Danio rerio: one gene and its partners. The protein of the gene in region 1 interacts with the protein of each later gene in a pairwise test. Links are inferred from orthologs where the notes say so. Each region holds a gene or a part of one and is shown in the gene's direction. Other genes may lie near its edges. The genes, in order: fhl3a, gcm2, slc25a46, znf512b, snrpg, pierce1 and lnx1.

Region 1 (3,500 bases):
GGCTGTTTCATTTGCAACAGCTGTCAACAGCCAATAGGCTCCAAGTCCTTCATCCCAGATAAAGATGACCACTATTGCGTACCCTGCTATGAGAACAAGTTCGCACCACGCTGTACTCGATGTAAACAGGTCAGTGGTGAGAGAGATTTCATCAGCTTTAAAATAAGTAACCATGTGTTTCGAATCAGTTCATGCACTCATTCCTCCACAAAAAAAGTCCAAATTCTGACCTCATTTCTTCTTCCTGTTGAATATCAGACGCCGTGCTGGTCACTGATTAACTCTGCCTGTCAATTTCACATCCTGTCTTGACAGGCCACCATCTGTTTGGACTCTTGGCTCTATTGTTTTAAAAAAACAATCATTTATCTCTTGCTATTTGCATGTGAAACACAAGAGATTTTTTTTTAAATCTGGAAACAGTTAGTTTTGATTTTACCCAAAACTAATTAGAAAACGAATCTAGAATGTATGAAAAGATATTTTAAGTCTCAAGATTGTCTCAAAGTCTCAAAACTGATGTCTCAAATTCTTTGTGGCTGCTCAATAAAAGCTACATTTTTGTCTAAACGTATAAAGTACAAGTGGTAGTCCATTAAAGTGAATTTAAAGGTGTTGTTTTTTTAATGCTAATCAATTTAATGAAAGTTTAAATGTTACTTTTCCATCTTCTCCACTTCAGGCCTTGGCTAAAGGTGGTGTGACCTATAGGGATGAGCCGTGGCATAAGGAGTGCTTTGTGTGCACAAGCTGTAAAGTCCAGCTAGCTGGCCAGCACTTCACCTCTCGTGATGACAGCCCATACTGCATCAAATGCTTCGGAAATCTGTATGCTAAGAAGTGTGAAGCCTGCAATAAACCAATTACAGGTAAATGATGCAGTAGTGTCACTTTGTTTCAAAAACTGATGGTGGACTAGTGCTCCCACAACACTTGAAAAAAAAAAATACAAAAGGGGGTTTTCACATAGTTCTGGTACTGTAAGAAGCTTTTGCACAGGAGAAATGTTTTCATAATTCCTAGAAGGAACTAATTGCAGAAGTATCCCATATAGAAATCTGATATTGTATATGGAAATATTTGCAAATTAAATATATGACATACAAGTTCATTTTTGGGTTGCACATTTCACATAAAATATATGTAATATTAATAAAAATAATATAATTGGAATGTTATTATACTTTAATATTAAATGTTGAACTTAACATTCAACAGCTGTAGTTAAATAAATCAATGAAGGACACCCATGCAACAGAACTCAGATAAGCTCAGAAGAATCAAAGCTTGAAAGAATAAATTACGCGATTGTTTTCAGCAACAGGCTTCAGCCACTGTTTAAACTCATCTTTCTCCAACCAGGAGTACGCAAACTTACATTTTCCCATCTGTTTCGCTCTATGGTTGTGTGACGTGTACATGTAGAGGTTGTGTACATGTGGAGAGCGTCAAATCACCTTCTCGCGTTTGTCGCAAACTATGTGAAATCCCCCTGACGGAGAAGCTTGAACCAATTGTGTGGATCGAGCACACTGATTTTTAATATTAGGAAAAAAATAAATATATTTTTGCTTTTTTTATTGGAGTCAAACACTTTGGTCAACTTTTAAACAAAATGTAAGACCTTGTAGAAACATCATAAAGACTTTTTAATAGCTTTTAAGGGCCTTAATTTTCTCATTATTGATTTATCTAAATATACAAAAGATCTGAATTAATTAAACTGCAGCAGTTTACTGCTTTAGCTGTATTACACCCAGTTATGGCGAGTAGACAATACATCAGAGATGCACCGGCGTCATTTAAAGCAGGAGTTCCCAAACTTTTCAGCCTTCGACCCCTAAAATAACAATGCCAGTGACTCGCAACCCCCAGACTCCTTAGAGGTGGTTATAAATATATAAACGTTGTGCACACAATAGGCCTATTGACAACAAAAATAGTGCAACAGTCTAATAAACATATAGTTTTTATAGTCATTTATTAATTAGTTCAATTTAATATTAACCTTAACTAATGAGACTGGTGGACTCAGCACAAGTCTATTCTTGGTTTAATTTTGGAGACCGCCATATTTTAACATACATGTACATATTTGTCATGCCTGTTAAAACAACAACAAATCAACGGTTAAAAACGTGAATAAATAGCCATTTTTGCAATATTTTAATATTTATTTTATATGTGAAATACAGATATGAACTTGCATCTCATCTGTAATTTGCACACATTTCCATTTATCAGATATCTATATGGATACAGACTTTGTGAGTTTGCAGGAACTTTACATGGTTTTAGTTATCTAAATGCCCTTTGCTGGGGCTAAATCATTTTCCACTTCAGTAAAAGTTTCTTAAGTACAGTATACACAACAGACAACAAAAACACACCTCTGATCATGGCTGATCCTCCAACCTCCAGTTCTTGAATTTATGTTAGTGCCACACTTGAAGTTGCAGTCAGCTAGCTTACATCAATTTTAAGTTCCTAGTTAAAATGCAACCAGGAAAACAGTTACAGGAACTGGAACTAGTCACCATGGTGTCCCTCAAGAACTACATGTTCCATCTAGGGCAAATATTCCTGGTTTCTTTTGCACCCTCACTAGGAACCATGAGTTCTAAGCTGACAGACATCAACATCATTACACAGCATCAGCAGCTGGTGTATAGTGTTATCAGAGCCAATTGCATTTAGTTTGTTTCATTAATGGAGATGGAATGTTGACAAATAAGTTGTGATACAAAAATCTTTATGTCACTGTTAGTTCCTATCATGCATCTTGATTCCTGAGAACTAACCCGGTTTAAATCTCTCTTTAGGTTTTGGCGGGGGAAAGTACATCTCGTTTGAGGACCGGCAATGGCACCAGCCGTGCTTCACCTGCTCTCGATGCTCTGTCTCTCTGGTGGGAGCAGGCTTCTTCCCCGAGCAAGATGAGATCCTCTGTCGCAACTGCAACAGCACCCTATAGAATACAACCCTCATGCACATGCCTTACCTTCCTTTACACATGCACACACACACACTATTATACACTGCTGTGCCCTCACCCAAGAACTACCCATTTCAAGTAACGCCCATGCTGATACTGCTATTTAACATAACAGCAAACCAGCAATCTACCCCTCGCACAATCATCACAACCCTCAACATACACTTGCTGGTTTACAACTGGACAAACAAGACTTGATGCTTCCTATGCAACGCTGAGTTCAAATCCACCGCACAATCCAGTATCAACACTCCATTAATGTACAGGCCTCGATGCACAGATAAAAATATCTGATCTGCCTACTAGTTATCGCCTTCTTTATTTTTGCCGGCCAGTCAGAACTGTTATTAAGCTGGTAGTAGTCATTAATGGGTGGATGTAGTCTGTGTTTGCAGCCTGTAAAAGAACTCAAACAGATTCCTTCAGAAACACCCAAAGGTCAAAGGTTTGGTGTTCTGTTAAAGTGACCGAACATCCCATTTAGAATTGTTCCAAACACTCTGTG
Region 2 (4,214 bases), on another chromosome or scaffold:
CAATGACAAAATAGAAATAAAAATCAGAAGGAACAAATCAATATTACGAAAAAAGTTACATTTAATTTAATAAGAACTTTTTAAAAATACAAAAACATGCAATCCTAAGCGTCAGGAGTTTCAAAGTGTGATCAGTTAATATTATTATATAGGCTATACATATTATTGTATGACTTATATATATATATATATATATATATATATATATATATATATATATATATATATATATATATATAATACATTTTTATTAGATATTAATAGTACAGCTATAGCTGACAAATTATCGCTGGGGAAATAAGGCATTTTGTAACATTATGCTCTATATTATTTACAAAATGCCGATATTAACTTAAGTAATAATTTCAGTCATCATTAGATTTATGCCTTGATACTTCCTTGCACTAAATCATTTTATTGAAACTAACAAAACGGCGTGTAACTGACAAAACAGTGTACAGAGACAGTTTGCATTTGGCCCAGACAAAGGAAACGGCACATTTAATTAAAGCAAACCTCGTGTATTCTTGCATAGTTCATTTTCTTACACGTCAATCGGAGATGCTGGAGTTTCTCTTGCTATCCAAGCTACGTTCAAATTTGATTATATTTTACAGTCTACTGCTAGGCCTATATTTTGAAATATTTAAAATTAAATATATGAAGGCGACTTACGGGAGTAGGCCATTCATTACCTATTTAATTTAATTGCAATGATCTTAAAATTAATTTTGCTTAACAAATAATAATATTAGTAATAATAATAATAATAATAATAGTCATATAATACTACTTCTATTAAATTAGCCCAATAATAATAATAATAATAATGATAATAATAATAATAAAAATAATAATAATTATAATAAAGATGATGATGATGATGAACATTAAGAAGAAGATTAACGCTACAAATTTCTGTTACAAGCAGGAGCAAACAGTTGCATTCATTTGAAGTTCGCCCCCGGGTGAATGTATCACCTGAAATCATTACTTGACATTTTCAATCAATGACATCAATGATCGCCAATAGATACATAGAAAAGGTGCTTGTTGATGAGCCGCGTATAGTGTTTGTTGTGTTAACGACAAGTCCGTGTTTTGTCAGCACTGCGGCTTTTCGTTTACACACAACAACTAATGACCTGCAGTAGATCACATTACCTCACTAACTGGACCAGTCCTGTTCTGTGACCATCAGCTTCGGCTCAGTCCCAGTGAAAGTGTCCTGCATAAATTTCGCTGACAACGCGTGAAATACCACACCGTCGGGTTCACCTTTAAAAGAGGCTGTCATTTTCCTTTTAAACTGTAAACGCGGAGATAAAATCTGAGACATGTAAGAAAAATCTATATAACAAAAACTACTGCTTCAGCCATCAAGTCAAAGCTTTTTGGTTTTGTTGCGAAGGGACTCGTTCGTTATTGGCGGTGAAACGCACGGATTACGTAAAGTGAAAGAAGTATTTGAGGTTGTGTGTGCGTGTGTAAGCCCAGCCTTCTTCTTTACATAGACACAGCAGTATTTACCTGAGACCATTACCTGTGTGAAGCGCACCTGTACGGACTCGCATAACGTGGATTTTACAAGAGAGAAAAAAAGACTCTGGAAGTAAAGCTCCCAAGGACGTGAGATGTACGATCCATTTAGTAAATTGATCTAGATACCGAGCTGAATTTTGCCTTGAAACTGATTTTTTAAATGGTTGTTATCATCCGGAGTTGACTCAAATCATGTCCAAATCCTCAGATCAGTTTGACAGCTCAGACTGCGTGTGTTCATTCGGGATGAAGTTGACTTGGGATATAAACGACCCCAAGCTTCCACAGGTAAATGTTTTGCTTTTATTTCATGCATTTTTAATGAATTTTATTTATTAAAATTATTTTCATATTTATTAAAATATTTAATTATTTTTCCAGAGTAAACTTTTATTCACTAAGCTAAAAAGGGAATGGTACAGTTTGATAATAGGCCTGATGTTAATATAATAATACTGTTGTTTTCAGGACACGAAGCAGTATGATGCTTTTCAGGAGTGGACAGATGGTTATGTGCGTTACATCTACAGTAGTGAAGATAAGAATGCGCAAAGACACCTGAGCGGATGGGCCATGAGAAACACGAACAACCATAACTGTCAGATCCTGAAAAAGTCTTGTCTTGGTGTGGTGGTGTGCTCACGAAACTGCTCTCTTCCAGACGGATCCAAACTTCAGCTGAGACCAGCCATCTGTGACAAAGCGCGACAGAAACAGCAGAGTATGTTCAGAATTTCCCCGCCACCAAATACGCATTACCAAATGAGTTAATCGCGTTAGGAAGTCTGATAGGAAAGGACATATATATAGCTATTAAAACACTTAGTTGGAAAAAAAAAAGCCTCATGTGTGTGTGTGTTTTTTTCTTGAAGGCTTTAGCAATTTTGAGTTTCTGTTTAACACAACAGTAATTCAGATCACTGTCACTTCAAATCACTTCGCGTTTTGTGCATTTTTTTTTTTACTGAGGAAAAGCTAGGCACAAATAGTTTAGTTTAAAATTATCAGCCGTACCACAGAAATTCATAAATGGTTGTAATATGTTAACTCTTTTTGGAAACAGACTTTTACGCAGAAATGTCAGTTAAGAGAACTTAGAAATTTACCACGAGAGTATTTAATATACTCTAGCCAAATTACATACCCACATTAGGTCACCAAATGTTCATTCTTTGAATTTGATCCGCTCATTCATGACTCAGCCGAGGAACACTTATGACTTGTTAATCATTTTGATGGACATGACATTTTCCGCAAAACAGCAATTTTACATATGTATGTATGCATGCATGATAAAAAGCTTAACTGAAATGTAATGTAGCTTAACTTAATACTGTATGTCTTGTCTTTGCAGAAAAGCTTTGTCCGAACTGTAACTCAGCTCTTGAATTGATTCCGTGCCGAGGTCACAGTGGTTATCCTGTTACGAACTTTTGGAGAGTAGATGGGAAGGCTATATTTTTCCAGGTGAGGCTGGCTTCGAAGACATTTGTTGTTGTTATTATTATTATTATTATTATTATTATTATTATTATTATTATCATCAACATCATCCTCATCATCATATTAATTTGGTTTATTTTCTTAAAAATAATAGAATATTTATTACGATTAGAAATGCAGGAGAGCTGGAGGAGATAATTTGGAAAAGTTTTAATTTTTTTAAGCCATTTTAGGTCAGCATTATTAGCCATATTAAGCAATATTTTTTCAATTGTTTATCGAAAAGCGATCCAGTTTCGCATTTGAATTGCACTTTAAGGTGAATAAAAGTATCCTAAATAAATATCAAGCAAAATATCATGTACTGTCATCATGGCAAAGATTAAAAAAAATCAGCTATTAGAATTTACTTATTAAAATTATTATGTTTAGAAATGTGTTACAAAATCTTTTTGTTATAAGTTGGGGAAAACATAATGGGGTAATAATTCAGAAGAGCTAATAATTTTGACCAACTGTATGTGTGTTTGTGTTTACTGAGAGAGAGAGAAAGAGAGAGGGAGAGAGAGAGAGAGAGAGAGAGAGAGAGAGAGAGAGAGAGAGAGAGAGAGAGAGAGAGAGAGAAAACTTAACTTAAAGTTAAGTTCTGGTAAATTAAAACCTGTTAAATTTATCCTAAATTGCACAGAATTATATCCCCATACAACAAGAATATGTTTTAGATTTACAAAGAGTTAAATATTTAAATAGTTATGAAGTATGAATATCATGCCATTGATAGATGTTCAATTCCCTATATGCTGGATGTCTGTTTTAGGCTAAAGGAGTACATGACCATCCCAGACCAGAGAGCAAGTCTGAAACAGAGGCAAGAAGGAGTGCGGTAAAAAGAAGGATGTCTTCACCACCCTTTTCGCAGAAGAGAAGACTGGTGGAGCCAGAGGTAAAACTGTGGCTATATTCTGTAGTACTTAAAGTTAATTGTAAATACACAAAGTATATGCTAATATAATAGGTATAGATCAGCACATAATAATGAAAATAACAATAGTCAGTAATAATAATGATTATTATATTTTTATTATAATTTGTTACAACTATAATTCCTGTATTTCCAATGCATTATTGTTAGTTAAGACATTAAAACAACTTCATAGTTCCATACTAAGCAAACTTATATATCATGTATTTTAGTGTAACTGTAATTTGTACAAAAAATAAAACAGTGT
Region 3 (4,229 bases), on another chromosome or scaffold:
TTAAATATATATATTTACGATAATCTACTGAAAGATGGTATACTTTTTGTCGCTTATTCTGAAAAACGATAGGACCTGTGAAGCACAAAGTGAGATCAACAACCTGACAAAAAGCTCTATTAATAATGTCCCCTTCAGTCCAGATCAGCCTCAATGTCACATCAGCAAATACAAAACGACAAAGCTGACCAGATATATGTTTAACGTTAAAATCGTTAACTGTGGCGCAACAAATAATAACAAATGCATGAAACGATCTGGAATAATAACAAAGCGAAGATTTACTTGGATAAAACTAAACATCGTGTAACGTAGCTTGCAAGCTATCCAGCAGATGCTACTGCAAGTAAACAACTTTTTAAGACGATACAGATATCCTTATTTACGTTTTAACGTACTAACACACGCAGGTGTGTGTTTCTACAGCATTTGAACTATCGTATATCAGCTTGTCATTATCGACATTTTATGTTTTTATATGTAAAACCATGATCCTACCGCAGGCCCCGCGGCTCCTGAGCGGATGCTGCTTCTGCTGCATCTCAAGCTCAAACTGATGTACTGATATCTTCATCAACAGAGGGCGCCCTCACCTCCATTTGCGCCTGCCCGGATGTATTAAAAACAATTAAACGCACACACACAAATATTTTGTAAAATCATAAAAGGATAATTAACTTTTATTTAAATGACGCACAAAATATGCAAGATATGTTTTCTAAAAATGAATATTTAAAAAAAATAATCGATTACACTTAAAACAATTGTGCAGAAGGCTCAAAAAAATCCACAAATGGAACCGCAGATTTATTTCTAAAAGCATAATTTAAATTACGCTCATTAAAATATATATGATATGCTCTTCCCAAAAAATTATATTTAAAGAAATAATTAATTAACCTCTAGAATTGGTAAAAAAGAGACAAGTTAGGCTAAAACTCCAAATAAAATCAACAATGCTAAAGCATCTATTTGTAAAAGCACAAACATAAAACAAGACATTTTAAAAGTTTAAACGGTATAATTATAGTACAATCAAACTATAAAATGCTATAAAATGTGTTTATATTGTATTGTTTTATTATAACATATGGATCCCAAATCTACCTCTTTTCACCTTTTTACCTTCCTTGTATTTTCCAAAGCATACTTTCTTCTTTTAATAATAAAATGAATACTTAACAATAATTAACGATTTCCCCCTCGTAACTATTGCATCTTTGCAATACTACATTACCCAAAAGGCTGCATTCAAACCGGAAGTAAACTGTCACTCGACAAAAGTCACCCGAACGAGTGTAATGTTGTTTTGCTAAAGTGCTAGCCTTGTTCATTGCGTCGGTCAATTGGCAATTATTTCTCTCATTTCCCATTTTAATTGCTATATTCTTCAATGAACTCGTCCCGCATCACATAGGCTAGAAGTCGCAGAACGTCAGACTAAAATATCTTGTCGTTTCGTTGTAGTTGCTTTGGCGATTTACAGCATGACTTCTCGTCGGCCTGACAGCTTTGAGGGTTTGGGTTACAGGGGCAGGGAGGACCCGGCATTCAGCGGGGGCTATTCGGGCAGGTCATTCAATAATTCATCCAGCTCTGACCTCCAGAACTGGGTCACCACACCTCCAGACATACCTGGAAGCAGAAACCTGCATTTTGACGATCGCACACCCCAGTTTGAGACCGCACCGGACGAGGCTCAATCAGCGGCTCCACCGTCCGGTAACATTGAGTACAGTTTATGAATTTGATGATCAGTGTGCATTCAGTGAGATGTTATTATTACAATTATCTTCTGTATATAAGACATGGCCTTAAACATGCTTATTGCGCATATGATGTGTGTGTTGTCACTGTCACTCCCCGCCCATCATTTGATCCATGAATGGATTGTGAATCTCTCCTCTAAGAGAATTGTTTGTGAGGTAAAAAGACAAAAAGAGTGTTTTAATTACCCCCTACAACAGAAATACTACATAACTAGACCTGCCACGTTATCTATTATTGTTGTACGTTATATTAAACCAAAATATATTGCAATAAACAATATTATTGTCATTTTAAGCCACTTATATAATGCCAGCATAAAAATATAATAGCATTACAATGCAAGTACGCTCTTCCGAAGAACACATCATATTTTATTCTTAAGAATATTTCATTTGATTATATATGTCATTTTTACCATTTAATAATGTGGCATTGGAATCAGAATGTTAAACGAGTATCCTAAACAAATAAATAATAATAATAAAATATAACCGAGGCTGCGATATCTGCTACAAGATATATATTTATTAGTCAGACACCCATATGAAAACATACTAAATTAATTTACAGTAAATTCTACAGTGTATACTATGGTATACTGACATCTCCAATACAGATAGAAATGTTGCTCATTCAGCTAAAATGTTAATAGAATGGATTTTCTGTACGGGCAATGTTTATTGCATCACTAAAAATGATTGCGATCAAGTCCATGTATTGTGTGATAAGTTGATAAAACGATTGTTGTGACAGGCATATGCATAACCTAATGATACTTTGTATTATTTAATCAAGATAGTTATAACTACAGTATTTCAATGAATGTTTTGTAAGGTAGCTTAATATCTCGCACAGTAATCTAAATTAAGCAGTGTACCATTGTTTTAAGCGATTCCACACTGAAGACACAGAATCATAAACAATGCATTTGCTTAGTAAAAAAGGTTGTCATTAATGTGTCACCTAGACCTATTTTACATTGATTTTAATACACAAAAAATTATTTCAAAAGAAAATTTTTAGCCAATATTATTATAACCAGGCAGAAGGATATATATATATATATATATATATATATATATATATATATATATATATATATATATATATATATATATATATATATAAATAATGTTCAGTATAGTTCCAGATTAAATGAATGAAAGTGACAAAAATTACATATAAACATGTATGTATGTATGTATGTATATACAGTGAGTGAAATAATCGATTTCTAAAGAAGCGGTTGACAAGGAATTAAACCAGATTTTGGTAAAAACCCAAACAATACAAACATGAAAAAAAAAAAAAATTAAACTAATTGGAAACTTTTTCTGTGTAATAATAATGGAAGAGCACAGGGAGAAAATACTGAATACTTTCTATACTTTTATGTACTGAAATGTATTTAATACTTTAAATAAAGGGCTTTTTTGGTCATGGCAGATGGATCTCATATAGAGAATGAAGTCACATGCATTGCAAAGATGTGATTTTTATTTTTTAATAGACTTCAAAAAAAAAAGTGTAAAAAAATCTCGATGGTTCTGTGGGTCTCCCCTATCAAATCTGATCTTTATTTCATATTTTCTTATGGGTTCAAGTGAGGTGATTGACTGGGCCATTCTAGTAGCTTGATTTTCTTTCTCTGAAACCATTTGAGTTTCCTTGGCTGTGTTGGGGATCATTGTCTTGCTGAAATGTCCACTCTGGTTTCATCTTCATCATCCTGATAATGTAGATGTTGTCTGAAGCAGCGGTTATTAATTTACAATGAGGATGGGCAGAGGGTTGCTAAAAAACTACTGAGAGATTTCAGCTGCTGTCTGGGCTTTCACTGCCTTTTTACACCTCCCTTTCTTCATGTGTTCAATACTTTTTCACTGCATCATTTCATTTTATTAGACATCATTTGTAAACTAATTAGATTTGCTTTCTTTGCATTTATGGATTTTTTTGGTTTCTATTAAAATTTCAAATCAACAGCACCTTTAGAAATATGTTTGCTGAGAAAAATGCTGAAATGTTTAATACTTATTTCTCTCACTGCATAGTAAGGCAAGGAGAGCATACTTTGGTCTCCATAGCTTTTATTAAATTGATAAAATTATTGGAATATGTTTTTCTATCAATCATTTCATCTGTTTATTTCTATGCACACACATGTTTGTTTTTAAACAAAATATGTACATAAGACATGCAGGACAGTTTTTTTCCTAAAATGACTCCTCCACTCTTTCTTTCAGAGCAACTGAATCGATTTGCTGGGTTTGGAATTGGTCTCGCAAGGTAAATAATCGCCAACGATTTTCATTCAAAGAAAAAAAATACTTGAGTATAAGATTATAACTGGCAAAATAGTGTTCCCAAATTCCTAATTATATTGTATGGCTTCAATTAGTCTCTTCACAGAAAATGTCTTGGCCCACCCCTGCATTGTGTTTCGGCGCCAATGTCAG
Region 4 (3,500 bases), on another chromosome or scaffold:
CTTACAAGCCTAGAACACCATCCCAATTGTGGAGTATGGGGGTGGCAGCATGTTGTGGGGCTGTTTTGTTGCAGGAGGGACTGGTCCACTTTACAGCATAGATGGCATCATGAAGAAAGAACATTATGTAGAAATACTGGAGCAACATCGCAAGACATCAGCCAGGAAATTAAAACTTGGCCTCAAATGGGTCTTCCAAACAGGCCATGACCCTAAGCATACTACCAAATTAGTTTAAATTTACTTTAAGGACAACAGAGTGAAAGTTTTGGAGTGGCCATCACAAAGCCCTTATCTCAATCCTATAGAAAATGTGTGGGCAGAGTTGAAAAAGCTTGCGCGAGCAAGCTTACAAACCTGACTCCGTTACACCAATTCTGTCAGGAGGAATGGGCCAAAATTCCTTCAAACTATTGTGAGAAGCTTTTGTAAGGATATCCAAAACCTTTGACTAAAGTTATACAGTTTAAAGCAAGGCAAAAAAAATTATGTAAACTTTTGATTGTCTAGAACAGGGGTCACCAATCTCGGTCCTGGAGGGCCGGTGTCCCTGCAGGGTTTAGCTACAACTTGCCTCAACACACCCACCTGGATGTTTCAAGTATTCCTAGTAAGACCTTAATTGGCTTGTTCAGGTGTGTTTGATTAGGGTTGGAGCTAAAATCTGCTGGACACCAGCCCTCCAGGAACAAGTTTGGTGACCACTGGTCCAGAACTTAATAAAAAATTATTAAAAACAAAATTCTCTCATTATTCTGGCATTTAGCAAATGTAAATGATTTAGGTAATCCTAACGGACCTAAAATAGTAAACGTTTAGTATGATTTACCATCAGACATTTAAAAAAATGGTTATGTTCCTTTTTTAGAGTGTAATTAAACTTCTGGTTTCAATTCTATTTGGTTAGATTTAAGTTGTGACTTCAGGTGACCAAAATGTAATGTCTAGCCAGTGTCTAAGGACAATGTTATTTTGATGTCCAATATCGACATCAAATTATGTTGGTATTTGGTTGATTTTAGGTTGTATTGGAGAGTGACCAAAATCCAATGTTGAGCCAACAACTTAAACCATCATCATATGATGCCTCAGATGTCAAAATATGACATTTATTTGTCAGGCATGGCAACCAAAATCCAACGTCTGATAGACATCATATTGGTATCGTTCACTCTACATCAAGCTGTAAAATCATTAGACATTGATAATTGGTTGATTTTAGGTTGGACATTAGAAATTAAAGTTGGCCTGACGTTGGACTCTGACTCTATCAATCTGACGTCCTGTGTCTGCTGGCATAGTATTGGTTTTTACAGAAGTCAGTGGTTTTATGTTACTACTTTTGTGTCACCAGAAGAAACTCATAAAGGTTTAGAAACACTTGATGGTGAAATAATGACAGATTGATTTTTTAGGGTGATCACTTTACTATCACTTTGTTACTTTTACTTTTTTTTATTACTAAAACTCACTGTCTACAAACCATTTTCAAGTTTAAAACATGATAGGAATGTAATACAGATCTGCAAAACACAGTATATTGTAAAATAGCATAAAACAATATAAAATAATAGACATATAATGATGATATCTGAATGGATTTCAAATGCCTCTGAATGCTCTGACTTCTCATTTTTAGCAGGAGGACAATAAAGATGAGGAGGATGTGCTGGAGGAAGAGGATGATGATGATGAGGAGGAGGAGGATGAAGAGGAACAGGAGGAGGAAGAGCCTGTGCTGAAGAAGAGCATAGAGCAGGAAAGGCAGAGCGAAGGTGAGCAGGTGGAGAAGATGCAGGAGAGGAAGGAAGAGAAAGGGGAAGTGGAGGACCTGCTGGATTTGGAGAGGACGCCGAGTGGCCGGGTGAGACGGCGCTCTGCTCAGGTGGCTGTATTTCACCTGCAGGAGATTGCAGAGGATGAGCTGGCCAAAGACTGGGGCACCAAACGAAGAATCAAAGATGACCTTGTTCCTGATATTAAAAGGGTAAAGTGATGTTGGACCTACTAACTTTAAAATTTCAATTTCTAATTACTTTCAAGATTTAAGTAAACTTTAGTTTACTATTGGAGATGTCAATAATTTGACAGCAAATGTTGTTTTTAGAATATTTATGCCTAACAAGAATTTACTAAAAACAGAACTTTTTTTCTTTGGGCTTTTGAAATGTTCCTTGTACAGATGACAGTATTCTCCTGGTGACAATATTCAAATATTCTTTATTCAGACAGATCACACAGAAAAATAAAGGTTTTTGTATACATACTTAAAAACATTATCTTCCTGTGAAAAACATTTAGCAATCAGATCTTGTGTTAGCATAGTCAAAATAAACCTTTTATTAAGCCAGTGGGTGGTGTCAAGTGTCATTGTAAATCCTTTACATGATATTTTTCTAATCTTGACAGAATTCATGTTGGAAAAGTCTTTTAGTATTTTGACAGACAATGTTATGACAGTTTGAGTCACTATGTTAAAGGTGCTGTAAGTTTTTGACTCTTCTAAAGCATGAAAATATCATATATTATATGCAGGTATTTCAGAAATATGCTAAGTGATAATTCTCGTTTATCTGAAAAACAATGCTAAAGTCAAAGATATTCTACTTTTAAAATGTGCATTACGAATTGAACAGCACTCAAAGTATTCATCTGTGACCAAAATGTGACCTCTGGTGAAGAGTAGCAGATTGAGACGCAGATTCAGAGTTCCACATGAGGTGTTTCATAATTAGCAAATAAGATAAATATTATGAAAGTAAACATTAGGTGAGCGGGTTACATTGTAACCCTGTCCTAACAACAGGCTAAGTGACGAGATACACTATAAGCAATTTGGTTGTTTGCACCAGACGAAACATGACAAAAATATAAATACAGCCATTCAGACTTACTGCACCCCAACGAAATGGTAAGGTTTATTATCATATTAATACATATTAAACCTTTACATATACATATTAAACTTTTTAAGATTATTAAATGTACATGCTGAGTCACAGATACATGTTGGCTTGCACTGAGTCACGGTTCTAGGGCTCTATTTTACTGTCTAAGCGCAAAGTCCAAAGTGCAGGGCACAAAAGCATTAAGGGCTTGTCAGAATCCTCTTTTGCTATTTTAAGGATGGAAAAATTCACTCTGCGCCACAGCGCATGGTCTAACAGGGTTGTGCTTATTATCTTAATGAGTTATGGGTGTGTTTTGAGAATAAACCAATTAGAGTCTGATCTCCCATTCCCTTTAAAAGTCAGTTGTGTCTTGCCATGGCGCATATGCTATTTACATGGCTGAGTGTGTAAATGGAAAAACTAAACACTTCACTAGCCAGAAAACAGTTAAACAGAGCATCTGCAGTGAGAGAATGAGCCTCATCATTCTTTACTTTCACCCTCTTTTGTGGATAAGGAAACGTGTTGTACACACAGACATCCATTAGCCTACATAATTAATTTTGTTGTTAAGCGCAAGGATTCATTTCAAAACAAGATTTCGGGAGG
Region 5 (4,174 bases), on another chromosome or scaffold:
AATTTACCTCATGTTACTATGTACGTTGAAATTATTTTTGAATAAATTGGTTAAAATATTCTTGTAAGTTTTGGATTTATAACAGGCCCTAAGCCGGGGGGTTGGGTTGGATTAAGGTAAAGTTCGCACATTCGTTCAGTGACAGCTCCATATATTGTTTACCGTGGTACTTTGAATTTTCGGACTGAAATCAGATGTAAATATGACTTTAAAGCAACATTACCAATATTAAATTGACTGTCAACAATGTTGCACTTTGATGGTTGATGGCTGCTAATATGATTTCACTATTTAGAATTTGCAGTGAATACTTCTCTGAAATTATATTATTAAGGAGAAAGTGTGAATGTGCGAATATAAAAATTAACTTTACCTCAATAGGCTTTGAGGGGTTCGAAAGACCTACCCCTCACTAACAAAGGTCCAACATTTGTTCCATATATGAGCTTGTTTGTCTCATTATAATTGCTATGCTTCATAAATTGTAAAAATAACTAAGCAAAAAGGGTCTTAAAACCAATTGTAATCCTCTGTTGGCTGTTGCTGCGGTGTGACTTCAGCTTATCAGTTTTGAACCTTTGATTATTAATAATAATATGTATTCAAATGGGCAAATTCTAACTGAGGACAGTTGAATGAGCTGGCCAAGTTGTTGTTTGCCCAATAAATGTCGCTATAATAGGCTACAGTTTTTAATTTAAACATTAATAGATTCCTTTTTTTTAATTAATATTGGCTGTAACATTTGTTTTTTAAAAATATGTATTTATTTATTTTTCTTTATTCCAAAATTTTAGGAAATATTTTGATTCATCAAAATTGTGGTTATGATGACTATTCGACAGGTTAATTCAGCTAAAGATAGTGCTTAAAATATCACTAAAATGCAGTATATCTAATAATTAAATAGAAAATGAGGCAAATACCTGCAAAAAGGTAAACTTACTTAGAAAAAAGAACCACCCCTTTTACCAGGCTGGCTATGGGCCTGTATAATATTCATTCATTTTCTTTTTGGCTTAGTCCCTTTATTCATCAGGGGTCGCCACAGCAGAATGAACCACCAACTTATACAACATATGCTTTACACAGCAGATGCCCTTCCAGCTGCAACCCAGTACTGGGAAACACTCATACACTATAGACAATTTAGTTTATTCAGTTCACCTATAGCACATGTCTTCGGACTGTGAGGGAAACCGGAGGACACCCACTCGAACACGGGGAGAACTTGCAAATTCCTCAGAGAAATGTCAACTGACCCAGCCGAGAGTCCGAGACTCGAACCAGCGACCTTGTCGATATGTTGTTGTTGTTGTAGTTCATCATCCGCCGGAGTAGAGGGCAATATTACTCAATGGTGCTAGTACAAGGGAAAAATCCCGCGACCCAAAACGTCACTTCCTGCATTTCACTCATTCTCCGAACAACGCTTGAAACGTGATTCAAACGTATTTGTTTGACAAAACTAGCATATCTCACTAAATAAACATGAGCAAAGCACATCCACCCGAGCTGAAAAAGTAAGTATTTCAAGTATTTTCTTGAGTTTTTTAGAAATTTGATATTAAGAAGTATTTAACATGGGCAACTTATTAACGTTAGCCGGTGTGTGTTCAGTTTAACGGCTAAATTACTTTATTTTCACATCAAGCATAACTTATATTGCTAATCCATTTTGATATATTTTATATGAGTTAGCTTTCAGTTTGGTGGTGTATCTATTGTGAATTAAGAAAGTGCCTTTTCCCCTCTTAGGTTTATGGACAAGAAGCTTTCACGTGAGTAATCTTTTAATAACGTTAGATGTTTCTCTTTCCAGTTAAAATATGAATTATAGCTCAATATTAGGGCTGCACGATATTGAAAAAACTATACATTGCGATATTTTCTTTTTTGTAATTAAGTAATTAAATATTTGAAAAGTGGTTTTGTAGGGGAGTGAAATTTAAATATACATTTTAATGTAGTTTCTTATACAAACTAGTCACACACACAATTGGGTAACGTAATTATTAAAGTGAAATAAACCGTCCTTAATGGGTTTCTTGAGAGTCTAACAGTACTCAGTTGGGTTTCCACAGTGTCTTAAATGTCAAAATCCAAAATTTGGCCATTAAAAAGTATTAATTTGACTGAAATATTGTATTGTGTAGGTCTTGATTCTTTTTTTTTTTTTTTAAAGTCATGTGTTGCTACCCAGTCTGGCCATTAACACCCATACAATCACCAACAATCCTCTCAACAAAACCTTAAACTTTTTATTTAAAAAGGTAATTTTTAATCTATTTACCATAATGGTTTAATTATTTTCCATACAATAACATGTGTTTAAAAGTTCTCCATGTATTTACTACTGAGGACACTGAACAGGAGAGATTGTTGTGCATAGATTTAGTTTATTGTAGTTTTTAAAAGTTTTAAAATATTTGTTCTTTTTTTTATTTTAAAGAAAGTTTATGTTGAGGAAAAAAGTGTATAGATACAATTAGAGCTTGCTTGTTTTTACACAATATTTTGCTAAGAAATAAAATCGGAAATATATATATTTTTTTATTATTATTGTATTATTAAATGTATTAAAATATAATAATGTTTTTGATAGGGCAAATAAAAATCTTTTCCATCAGGGCTATTTGAAAAATTCCTTAGCTTTTAGCACTTTATGGGTCTAAAATGTAATTAATAAAGGTTTTATAAACAATTAAATTTAACTGTATAACCTGCAGAAACCCTGATTCAGGTACTGAAATCGAATAATCAAATGTAAAATAGCACTGTGTAGTCTTCACCATACACAAATTTTAATAAAATTAATCTTTATTAAACATTTTCATGCACTACTAATGTTTTAAACTCTCTTCAAATGCTCAGCCACATGCCTTAAAGTGATGATAAACTTTCACTCTATTGTGCTTAAATTCTGCAGTGTCTCCACAAATCTTGTGTGTTTTGACTAGTGGTTTCTGGTGGTCATCTATAATCCTAACTATCGCCTATCTTGCGATGTAACTAATGCAGATGCACACATTTCAATATCATTGCTCAAGAAGTGATATATTGTGCAGCTCTAATATATATTAATATTATTTCAATAAAAACGTTCAATGATGTATTTTACAGGGTCCCCGCGGGTCCTTAAAAAGTCTTAAAATGTCTTAAATAAAATTTTCGATTTTTAAGGTCTGAAAATGTCTTGAATTCTGTAATTTTCCATAAGGAGGTCTTAAATTTCATGTGGGATCTTAAATATCATGTCCGACTCGTCTTATGTCGGCAAATCAATGCCAATATAAATCGAGCGCAGCGGTGATGTTTGCGCGCGAGGAGAAGTGAACCGTGAGCAGATTACAGACACGCGAGAAAACTACAGCTGCAAGCGCACAGGGGATCTTCACGCGCGCGCTCAACTGATCCAGCGCGAGAAAACAAGTCCCGCGCGCGCACATCATCATCTTATGGCAAGCCCAAGAGCTCATAAAAACACTATTAATCAATCGCGTTTACAATTAAAACGCCGCATTAAACGGCGCTAATACCATTTCAAACGCCGCTAAAAACGCCGTTCTGATTGCAAACGCCGCAAATAACGCGCGTAAACCTGTAAAAAACGCCGTTTTTAACGCCGTTTTAGTGTTAGTGAAAAGCGCGGTTTATGACGCGATCCGCTTGCCACAAAACGCCGTTTAAAACGCCGTTTTAACCCCACTGAAACGCGCGTTATAAACGGCGCTTTCCTGAAGTATAATGAGCCACGCCCGCTGATTTCCACAGCCAGTAAGCTTGAGCTGCTCTCACCCAATCAACAATGAACAGAACCAGACAAGACTAATTCACCACTGATCGTAGCGGAAGAAGGGACTCTGAACTGATAGCAAATGCTTATTTACAAAGTACCTTTTACAATAGATCGATTCCACGTCTTTGTGCTTGTAAATGTTCATTTTAGATAGATGGCATCAGAAGAAATGTATTTTTGTAAGTGCCTTGGCAAAAGTGAGCGGGCATGTTATTGTAACCCTTATTTCTGGCTGTTTACAGACCATTCTCTCCAACGTGGGCATCGTAAATAAACGCTGGTTACCAGGGTGATAATTCGTTTCTTTTCTTTAATCTGGAGCATCGACATAACATTCACAAACAACATTACAACAGCATTGCATCTGCCGAATTC
Region 6 (4,130 bases), on another chromosome or scaffold:
TATGTTAGATTTAGGTTGTGATGTCAGGTGACCAAAATTCAATGTCTAGTCTGCATCTAACGACAATGTTACTTTGATGACCATAACGATGTCAAATGACATTGATATTCTGTAGATGTTAGGTTATGTTGGAAAGTGACCAAAATCCAACGTCAAGCCAACATCTTAAACCAACGTCATATTGCCGTCAGATACTGACATCATACTGACGGCATAGTGGTAATGTTCACACAACGTCAAGCTGTAACTTTATTAGACGTTGATATGGACGTTGGACATTGATATCAACCCGAACTTCATTTCCAAACAAAACGCAACGACCCCCATAGTTAGTATACAACGTCAATTTGATGTCATGTTGACATCTTCTACCTGCTGAGTGTTTAAGGCCATTTCGGTCATCATATAGTAAACAATCGTCATCTTGTCATCAGTGACATACAAAAAAACTGTATCTGGGTTAATGCGTGTAAAGATTTTGGATCTTGTTGGACACTTTTAATGCTTCCAAACTGTTTGCTGCAATTATAAGGTGCCCATGTCTTGAGTAAGTTCATTATGATGTGATTTACCTTCTATTTGCGATTTGATTGGACAGGAATCACATGACTGATTTTTCTAATCGACAAAAAAAAATACAAAATAAAAATAAATAAAGTTGTGCCTGCAGGTTGAAGGAAATTAATGGAGATAAAGTATAGATACAGCACTAAAAATTTACTCAAAGGAAAGTAAACGTACATATTTTTAAACCTATGTAGTAAATACGATTCCTGAGAAAAACGACTCAATTACAGTCATTTGAGTTTTTGTAATTAGTTATTTTGCACCCCTGGTCATTAGAAATGTGAAATTTACTTATATAGCTTTAAGTAATTTTCTCTTTGGTTTTATGATTTATAGTTGTCTTTTGAGTAAAACATCATTTTGTTTTACTCTGCAAACTACTGATAACATCTCCTACAAATTTAATATAAAAACATCAATGTTAGAGCTTTTTTCTGCATAAAATAAAAAGGTGGCATGTTCTTGGTTATTTATATAAGGATTAAGACAAATACTAATGTTTTAACTACACAAGAGTTAGGAATATTTACTAATTATAATTACCACGAAATGTTATCGTCAATCACAACAAATAACAACATCTAAACGATTCTCATTGTAATGTTACTTTATTTGAATAATTGACATATCTAATAATACCACAGTAAATCCAAATATCTCTTACTTTTTTCTCCATAGAGTGTATTTATTTCTTTTTTAAAGCTAAATTTTTAATTATTACTTATGAGAAATTTTTTGAGAAAAGACAACACTTAACTTACCAGGGTCACATTACGTCACCTGGTTACAGTGTTTATAGCAACCACACGGATAATGCCTCAACACAAACATGAGCACAAACGAAATAAAGAACGATTATTCAGCGAAAGAAGAGACCGCAGGGCCTGGAGATTCTAATACATCTGAAATAAAGACAAGCGATGTGTACAAAGTTGACAAAAACTTACCGTCTCGCTTTAATAACCCGGATTGTTTCAGATACAGGTAAGAAGAGCCAGCCTTGATGTGTCCAAAGTGCGGAAGTTGAAGTCAATATACTTGACGTTTTTAGCACTTTAGTTGAATATTCTTCAAGAGTGAACTTTTAACACCTGCTTGCTTGGATGTTTTTAAATAGTTTATTAGTTGTTTGAGGCGTTAACGCAGTAATTAGCCATAGTTTGTTAAACAGGTTGCATCGCTTCCGGTTCAGGTCCTTTATGTGTGTATCTCGATTAAAGCGATAAATAGTTTTACTTATTTCTTCTCAGTTGCATTATGGAATAAAATTAAATAAGAACGGACAATAATACAACAAGCTATAAATAACAGGGATCCTTGAAAATTTTGAATTTCTTAGGATGTTTATTTTCCAAGTAACTTAAGAGTTTCAGTAAATATATATATATATATATATATATATATATATATATATATATATATATATATATATATATATATATATATATTTAGTCTATAAACAGGGTTCATACAAATTTTTACCACTAAAATTCTATAACTTTTCCACGATTTTTCCAAGACTTTCAGGTAAATTTTCATCACCTAATGTTTCATGCAATGTCTACATACATACAGTATGCGTAGTAAAAGAAAAACAATGCACGCAACAATCTATTCAGTTTGAATATATATTTATATCTATGTAAAATTTATTTAGAATATGCTTACACGCACTAATAATGTGAGAGTATGTGATTGGCCAAGGACAGAAAAGTAAAGACAATTAACCCAAAATAAATATCAATTTTCCAAAACTTTTCCAGGCCTGGAAAATGTCATGTCAAAGTTCCATGACTTTTCCAAGTTTTCCATGACCGTATAACCCTGTATTAATGTCTGATAACACATTTTTTGACGAAATTACACTTCAGACATGTATTCATTTGTTGTGGTTGAAAATCAGGATTATTCCATTAAATGTAGTTTTCTTCTGAAGGTATAATATTGTTTTTTATATAACACTTTACAAAATGATTCAATTAGTTCATGTTAATCATATTTACTTACATGAATTAAAAATGACCAATATAACAGTATTTGTTCACTTCTGTTGGCAAAAGAAAAAGTTGTTAATTAGTTCTTTACACAACTCTAGAGTTTAATAATGCATTAGTAAATTCTAAACTATGATTAATAAAAGCTGTACAAGACAAGTACACTACTTGACGAAAGTCTTGTCGCCTATCCAAGTTTTAGGAACAACAAATAATAACTTGACTTCTAGTTGATCATTTGGTATCAGAAGTGGCTTATATGAAACGCAAAATAAATAAATGATCGTGATTTTTAATTATTTAATTAGGACAGTAAGAATTGACTTTGCTTAGACAAAATTCTTGTCACTTAACAAAAATAATGTAGAGTACAGAATATAAAGTCATGGAAAAATAATTAAAATTGTGTATGACTCTCATGAGCTTGGAGGACTGCATCCATACATCTCTGCGAAGACTCAGGTAACTTATTGATAAAGTCATCTGGAATGGCAAAAACAGCGTTCTTGCAGGACTCCCAGAGTTCATCAAGATTCTTTGGATTTACCTTCAATGCCTCCTCCATCTTACCCCAGACATGCTCAGTAACGTTCATGTCTGGTGACTGGGCTGGCCAATCATGGAGCACCTTGACCTTCTTTGCTTTCAGGAACTTTGATATGGAGGCTGAAGTATGAGAAGGAGTATTTGCTCTCTCCTGTGGTTTGTATGGTTATGGTCAGGACAAATATCTTGATGCCTCAGGCTGTTGATGTTGCCTTGCACTCTGCAGATCTCTTGCATACCATGCAGGTTCTAATAGGTCTTCTGCAGCATTTGTGATGATTGGGATGCAGTTCAACAGATGATTCATCAGAAAAATCTACCTTCTGTCACTTTTCCAAATGAATATCTACTGTAGAAGTCAAGTTATTATTTGTTGCTCTTTCAACTGGGATCGACAAGTTTTTTTTTAGGTAATTTATTGTTCATTCTTAGTTCATGTTAAATGTAAAGTGTTGCCATATCAAGTTATTTAAACATAGAATATAATTGTTATTTTGACCAATTGTCAGTTTATACTCTAAATGAGTTTGAATTAAAGAACAACTCAGACTCATCGCTAAATGAGTTTGAAATCAAAACAAGCATTTTACTGAACTATAAATTGTAAACTTAACTATGAATTGTAAATCCAGAGAAACTGAGAATTTCTAAATGCTCTTCATTACTATAAAATACAATATATGTGTATTCTAATGATCTTCATTGTATATTTCAGTCACAAAACAACCAATCCACTGTACCGAACAACAAACCAAGCATATGGAAGCAAAAAACCAACAGTTCACGAAATGCCTGTGAGTAAGCGGCACACAATATAAATGAATAGGATAATACACACAAGAGTACTTACAAATCTGCTTCATTTTTCCAGACATCCTTTAACGGAAGTCGACACAGGTTTTCGGAGCATCTACTAAAAAGTGGCATGTACAGAGACAACGGCTTCAACACCATGCTGGACAAGAGTCGACTCTCCAGACCCAACGAAACGTCTGTGTTTTATGATAGAATCAATTTCCATTC
Region 7 (3,500 bases), on another chromosome or scaffold:
CTGGGAGTCTCTGTGCATTTGCGGGATAACGTTAACGTTAGTCCCGCAACTTCCGGGAGACTTCTGTAACGTCAAATGTCTGATAAAGTGCAAACGCGGTCATTTAAAGACATTAATGTTAACATTCCGACTTTAATGGAAGTCAACACTTAATATAATTCAAGCGTAACTGTTACGTTATCACACGAGTCTATGGACTAACGTTATTTGGACAGCCACGAATGAACCAGTTTAAAAGGGCTGCGGTGTTTAAAATAACCAAATTAACGTACACGAATAACAAACAATCATATGTTTCAGTCAGGAAGCCTTTTACAAGTAAGCATGTTCATTTACTCACCAGATATGTTTTAGAAACTCCAGAGCTCATGGAAACCGTCCTGTGTTGCCGTTAGCATCCAGGCAGAGTAGGCTAGGCTGCTCCGGGGATTCCCTCGCTAGTTTGCTTTGAATTAAAGGAGAAGTGTCGATTTTATTTTACAGATGGGTAACAACGCACAAAATAGCATTAAGCGTGACATAAATGTGTTTAACATGTACATTTGATGTTTTTATGCACTATGTATGCGTGAGCATATATAAAAAACATTCTTGAAAAGAAGTGAATAGTAATGCAGTTAAGCTATACACAAACGACCATGAATGAACCGCAGAAGTTTAAAATTGTCACTCCATTCTAAAATTATTAACTTAACAATATGTTTACAACTGTATTTCCTTAAAGAAAGTCAGTAAAATACCAACATTTAGGTAGTTTGACTCACCAGTTGCTGTTCTAAACCTCAGATGGAAAATGGCGTCTGGAAAATTCTTCAGTGACTGGGGCTGCATGAATTCCCGGATGTTGGAAATAACACCACCAAGTATTGAAAAGATAACTCTTTGATTTCGCACTGAATAAAATCAATTTTAACTCTTATTATATTCATTTATCAAAATTTAACTCTTTAACGTCAACACTTTACTCTGAAATGCTTCAACACCGAGAATTTAACTCTGATGAATTTGCTGTGTAGTTCATTAATATGGTGCTTGTAGTTCTCGAGCGATTTGCAGTCCCTAGATTGCTGGTAATTGTTATACCGCCAAAGCTGGTCAGTAAAAATTATCCAACTGGTGAAATAAGTTTTTATGAAATATTATTGCAATTTAAAATTGCGAGTTTCAATATTGGAAAAATATGCTTAAATCAAATTAATTGCTGGTTTATTTCTTATTTTCAAATAGTCAGCATCATTACAAAAATCCTCTTAACAGGCACTCTTAACAATTGTGTAGTTCCTTGAAAAAAGAAAATGGTTTGACAAATGAAAAGTTGAATAAATTACATTTGTTATTATTAGACATACATTTTTCCCTGTCAGTTTTAATCAACACAACAACTACTTTTAAATAAAACAACGAATTACTATTATAAAAAATAACATATTAGCTCCAGATTTTTGATCAGCGCTACAGTATGCACATTTGTCTGTGGAAAAAAGTTTAATTTTACTTAAAACTCACCCCTTTAATTGTAAGATTTATCTTAATGCATTCATATAAAGTCTCTGCCAGCCTTGCATCCACCAACAGACCACTGTAATGCTTTTTTAAGTCCTGCAGTCATGCTTGGCCTGGCTTTACTCTGGACAGATGCCCTGTTTGTGTAGCACTGAAAGTGATGATCATGTGGGAGTTCAGTTCACTGATTACACAAACTCTCTCTCTCTCTCTCTGTTTCAGTATTCGCATTACCTCAGCTGCATCATCTAATCCCTGATGGTGAGGTCACCAGTATTAAGATCACCAGGGCAGATCCTTGTGAACCACTGGCAATCAGTATTGTTGGTGGCAATGAGACCCCTCTAGTACGCATCCTCATACAAGACATCTACCGCGAGGGGGTCATCGCTCGGGATGGAAGACTACTACCTGGAGATATGATTCTTAAGGTGCGTATGTGTGCTAGAGCTGAGATTACGTCAATGTACAGTAGGAGCAAATCACCCCGGTTTTGATAGCACATGTTGTCACCATCTGTTGTTCAGAGGAGCAACGTGTTAGGATTCTGCATGTAGACATTTTAATGCCTTTTGCTTTCATTTTTAATTTGATCATGTTATATAAAATAAGCAGAGATGCTCTTATATTTACATTTAAGCTGTGATTATGTTAATGTCCCATAAGCCTAAAAAAAGCAGATATGCAGCATTCCCAGAATCAACATTAGAACCAGCTTTATATTCCAAGTCTGTACAAACATGCAAGGAATTCATTGTGGGTTCCAGGAACTTTGTATACATAGATATATAACACAAGAACACTAGAAAAACATTTGAATAAGTCAACTGGCGGTTCATTCCACTGTGGTAGTCCCTAATAAATCAGACACTAAGATGAAGGAAAATGAGTGAGTGCATTGGAATAAGTTAGATTAATAAAAATAAGAATTTAAAATATATTTTAAAAACAATAAAACAACGTAGATCTAGATATAATGGCATATGTAAAATGTACTGTAAGGACACTATAAATAAAATAATGTGTATTTATAAAGTAAACATTCTATTGTTGCATATAAGAGTACTGGATTACTGGTTTTAAAAATATGCAGTAATTGGTGTGTTAGCTGTTTAGATGGAGATGTGGACATGGACAGAATTTTATGTCTAGATGTTCTAGTCTATGCTAATGAACGGATGAATAAAAATAACGCTAAATAAAATTAACATTTAAAATTTGATCTTTCAGTAGTGTGTTTCTTGCTATTAATCCCATGCATGTTAATGAATGAATGAATAAAAATAACACTAAATAAAATTAACATTTAAAATGTGGCCTTTCAATAGTGTGCTAATTTATGCAATTAATCATACTTAAAATTAAAATATGTATGCTAACAACCAGCTAGATGTACATCCTATCTTACATAAAGCTTATACAAACTACAAACACTTATATCAGGTAAATGCAACCTTCAATTTTAATTGTGATTAGGCATTGGCTGATATAAGATTCTGAAGGTATGATAACCTTATATAAAAAATGCTTCCAAGGTATTGTGCTCTAAATTATGTTCTTTTTAAATGTCTGGGTAAAAAACTAAAACTTTTACCCCTTTGAACACAATATATTTTCTTTTGAGAAACACTTAAAATATTTTGGAGCAGTAAACATGTCAGCCTAAGTAATTCAAATGAATCATTGACTGATTCTGTCTTCATTAGTTTAAAAAAAATAACAGATTTATTTACCATTGATTAATTTTTTATATCTTTTCTGCTGGAGATACTATTGCCCTAAAAACAAACAGAAAATTATAATAAAAAAAATAAAAAAATCATCTTACAAATACCATAGGAATGATATGGCAGAAGACGTTGGCGGTTTTAAAACCTTGACTTTTCCAAACCACGATATACCTTGAAAACGGTTATCATCCAAAGCCTAATTGTGATTAATCCTAAATAATTGTTTGACAGTACTACATGAAACTCAGGCTTTTGGAATTGGTTATG

The links.
Region 2: the proteins of fhl3a (region 1) and gcm2 interact in binary tests that used the Homo sapiens proteins (3 or more experiments, as listed by UniProt). The link is inferred for Danio rerio from reciprocal best matches to the Homo sapiens genes FHL3 and GCM2.
Region 3: the proteins of fhl3a (region 1) and slc25a46 interact in binary tests that used the Homo sapiens proteins (3 or more experiments, as listed by UniProt). The two-hybrid records come from large-scale screens. The link is inferred for Danio rerio from reciprocal best matches to the Homo sapiens genes FHL3 and SLC25A46.
Region 4: the proteins of fhl3a (region 1) and znf512b interact in binary tests that used the Homo sapiens proteins (3 or more experiments, as listed by UniProt). The two-hybrid records come from large-scale screens. The link is inferred for Danio rerio from reciprocal best matches to the Homo sapiens genes FHL3 and ZNF512B.
Region 5: the proteins of fhl3a (region 1) and snrpg interact in binary tests that used the Homo sapiens proteins (3 or more experiments, as listed by UniProt). The two-hybrid records come from large-scale screens. The link is inferred for Danio rerio from reciprocal best matches to the Homo sapiens genes FHL3 and SNRPG.
Region 6: the proteins of fhl3a (region 1) and pierce1 interact in binary tests that used the Homo sapiens proteins (3 or more experiments, as listed by UniProt). The two-hybrid records come from large-scale screens. The link is inferred for Danio rerio from reciprocal best matches to the Homo sapiens genes FHL3 and PIERCE1.
Region 7: the proteins of fhl3a (region 1) and lnx1 interact in a two-hybrid assay, tested with the Homo sapiens proteins (2 studies listed by BioGRID and IntAct). The link is inferred for Danio rerio from reciprocal best matches to the Homo sapiens genes FHL3 and LNX1.

Annotation. Positions count from the first base shown.
Region 1 is NC_133191.1:36,956,211-36,959,710, forward strand, and holds part of fhl3a (four and a half LIM domains protein 3), read left to right. Parts: coding exon 1-129; intron 130-682; coding exon 683-869; intron 870-2,822; coding exon 2,823-2,974; 3' UTR 2,975-3,500. UniProt on the Homo sapiens protein: Recruited by SOX15 to FOXK1 promoters where it acts as a transcriptional coactivator of FOXK1.
Region 2 is NC_133199.1:9,178,011-9,182,224, reverse strand, and holds the start of gcm2 (chorion-specific transcription factor GCMb), read left to right. Parts: upstream 1-1,414; 5' UTR 1,415-1,734; coding exon 1,735-1,830; intron 1,831-2,010; coding exon 2,011-2,263; intron 2,264-2,896; coding exon 2,897-3,009; intron 3,010-3,802; coding exon 3,803-3,928; intron 3,929-4,214. UniProt on the Homo sapiens protein: Transcription factor that binds specific sequences on gene promoters and activate their transcription. Through the regulation of gene transcription, may play a role in parathyroid gland development.
Region 3 is NC_133180.1:61,260,243-61,264,471, reverse strand, and holds the start of slc25a46 (mitochondrial outer membrane protein SLC25A46), read left to right. Parts: upstream 1-1,429; 5' UTR 1,430-1,487; coding exon 1,488-1,722; intron 1,723-4,016; coding exon 4,017-4,059; intron 4,060-4,171; coding exon 4,172-4,229. UniProt on the Homo sapiens protein: Transmembrane protein of the mitochondrial outer membrane that controls mitochondrial organization.
Region 4 is NC_133198.1:15,038,402-15,041,901, forward strand, and holds part of znf512b (zinc finger protein 512B), read left to right. Parts: intron 1-1,639; coding exon 1,640-1,987; intron 1,988-3,500. UniProt on the Homo sapiens protein: Involved in transcriptional regulation by repressing gene expression. Associates with the nucleosome remodeling and histone deacetylase (NuRD) complex, which promotes transcriptional repression by histone deacetylation and nucleosome remodeling.
Region 5 is NC_133198.1:36,914,893-36,919,066, forward strand, and holds the start of snrpg (small nuclear ribonucleoprotein G), read left to right. Parts: upstream 1-1,374; 5' UTR 1,375-1,491; coding exon 1,492-1,523; intron 1,524-1,758; coding exon 1,759-1,781; intron 1,782-4,174. UniProt on the Homo sapiens protein: Plays a role in pre-mRNA splicing as a core component of the spliceosomal U1, U2, U4 and U5 small nuclear ribonucleoproteins (snRNPs), the building blocks of the spliceosome.
Region 6 is NC_133183.1:13,120,194-13,124,323, reverse strand, and holds the start of pierce1 (piercer of microtubule wall 2 protein), read left to right. Parts: upstream 1-1,330; 5' UTR 1,331-1,396; coding exon 1,397-1,551; intron 1,552-3,822; coding exon 3,823-3,901; intron 3,902-3,978; coding exon 3,979-4,130. UniProt on the Homo sapiens protein: Microtubule inner protein involved in the attachment of outer dynein arms (ODAs) to dynein-decorated doublet microtubules (DMTs) in cilia axoneme, which is required for motile cilia beating.
Region 7 is NC_133195.1:25,268,640-25,272,139, forward strand, and holds part of lnx1 (E3 ubiquitin-protein ligase LNX), read left to right. Parts: intron 1-1,725; coding exon 1,726-1,934; intron 1,935-3,500.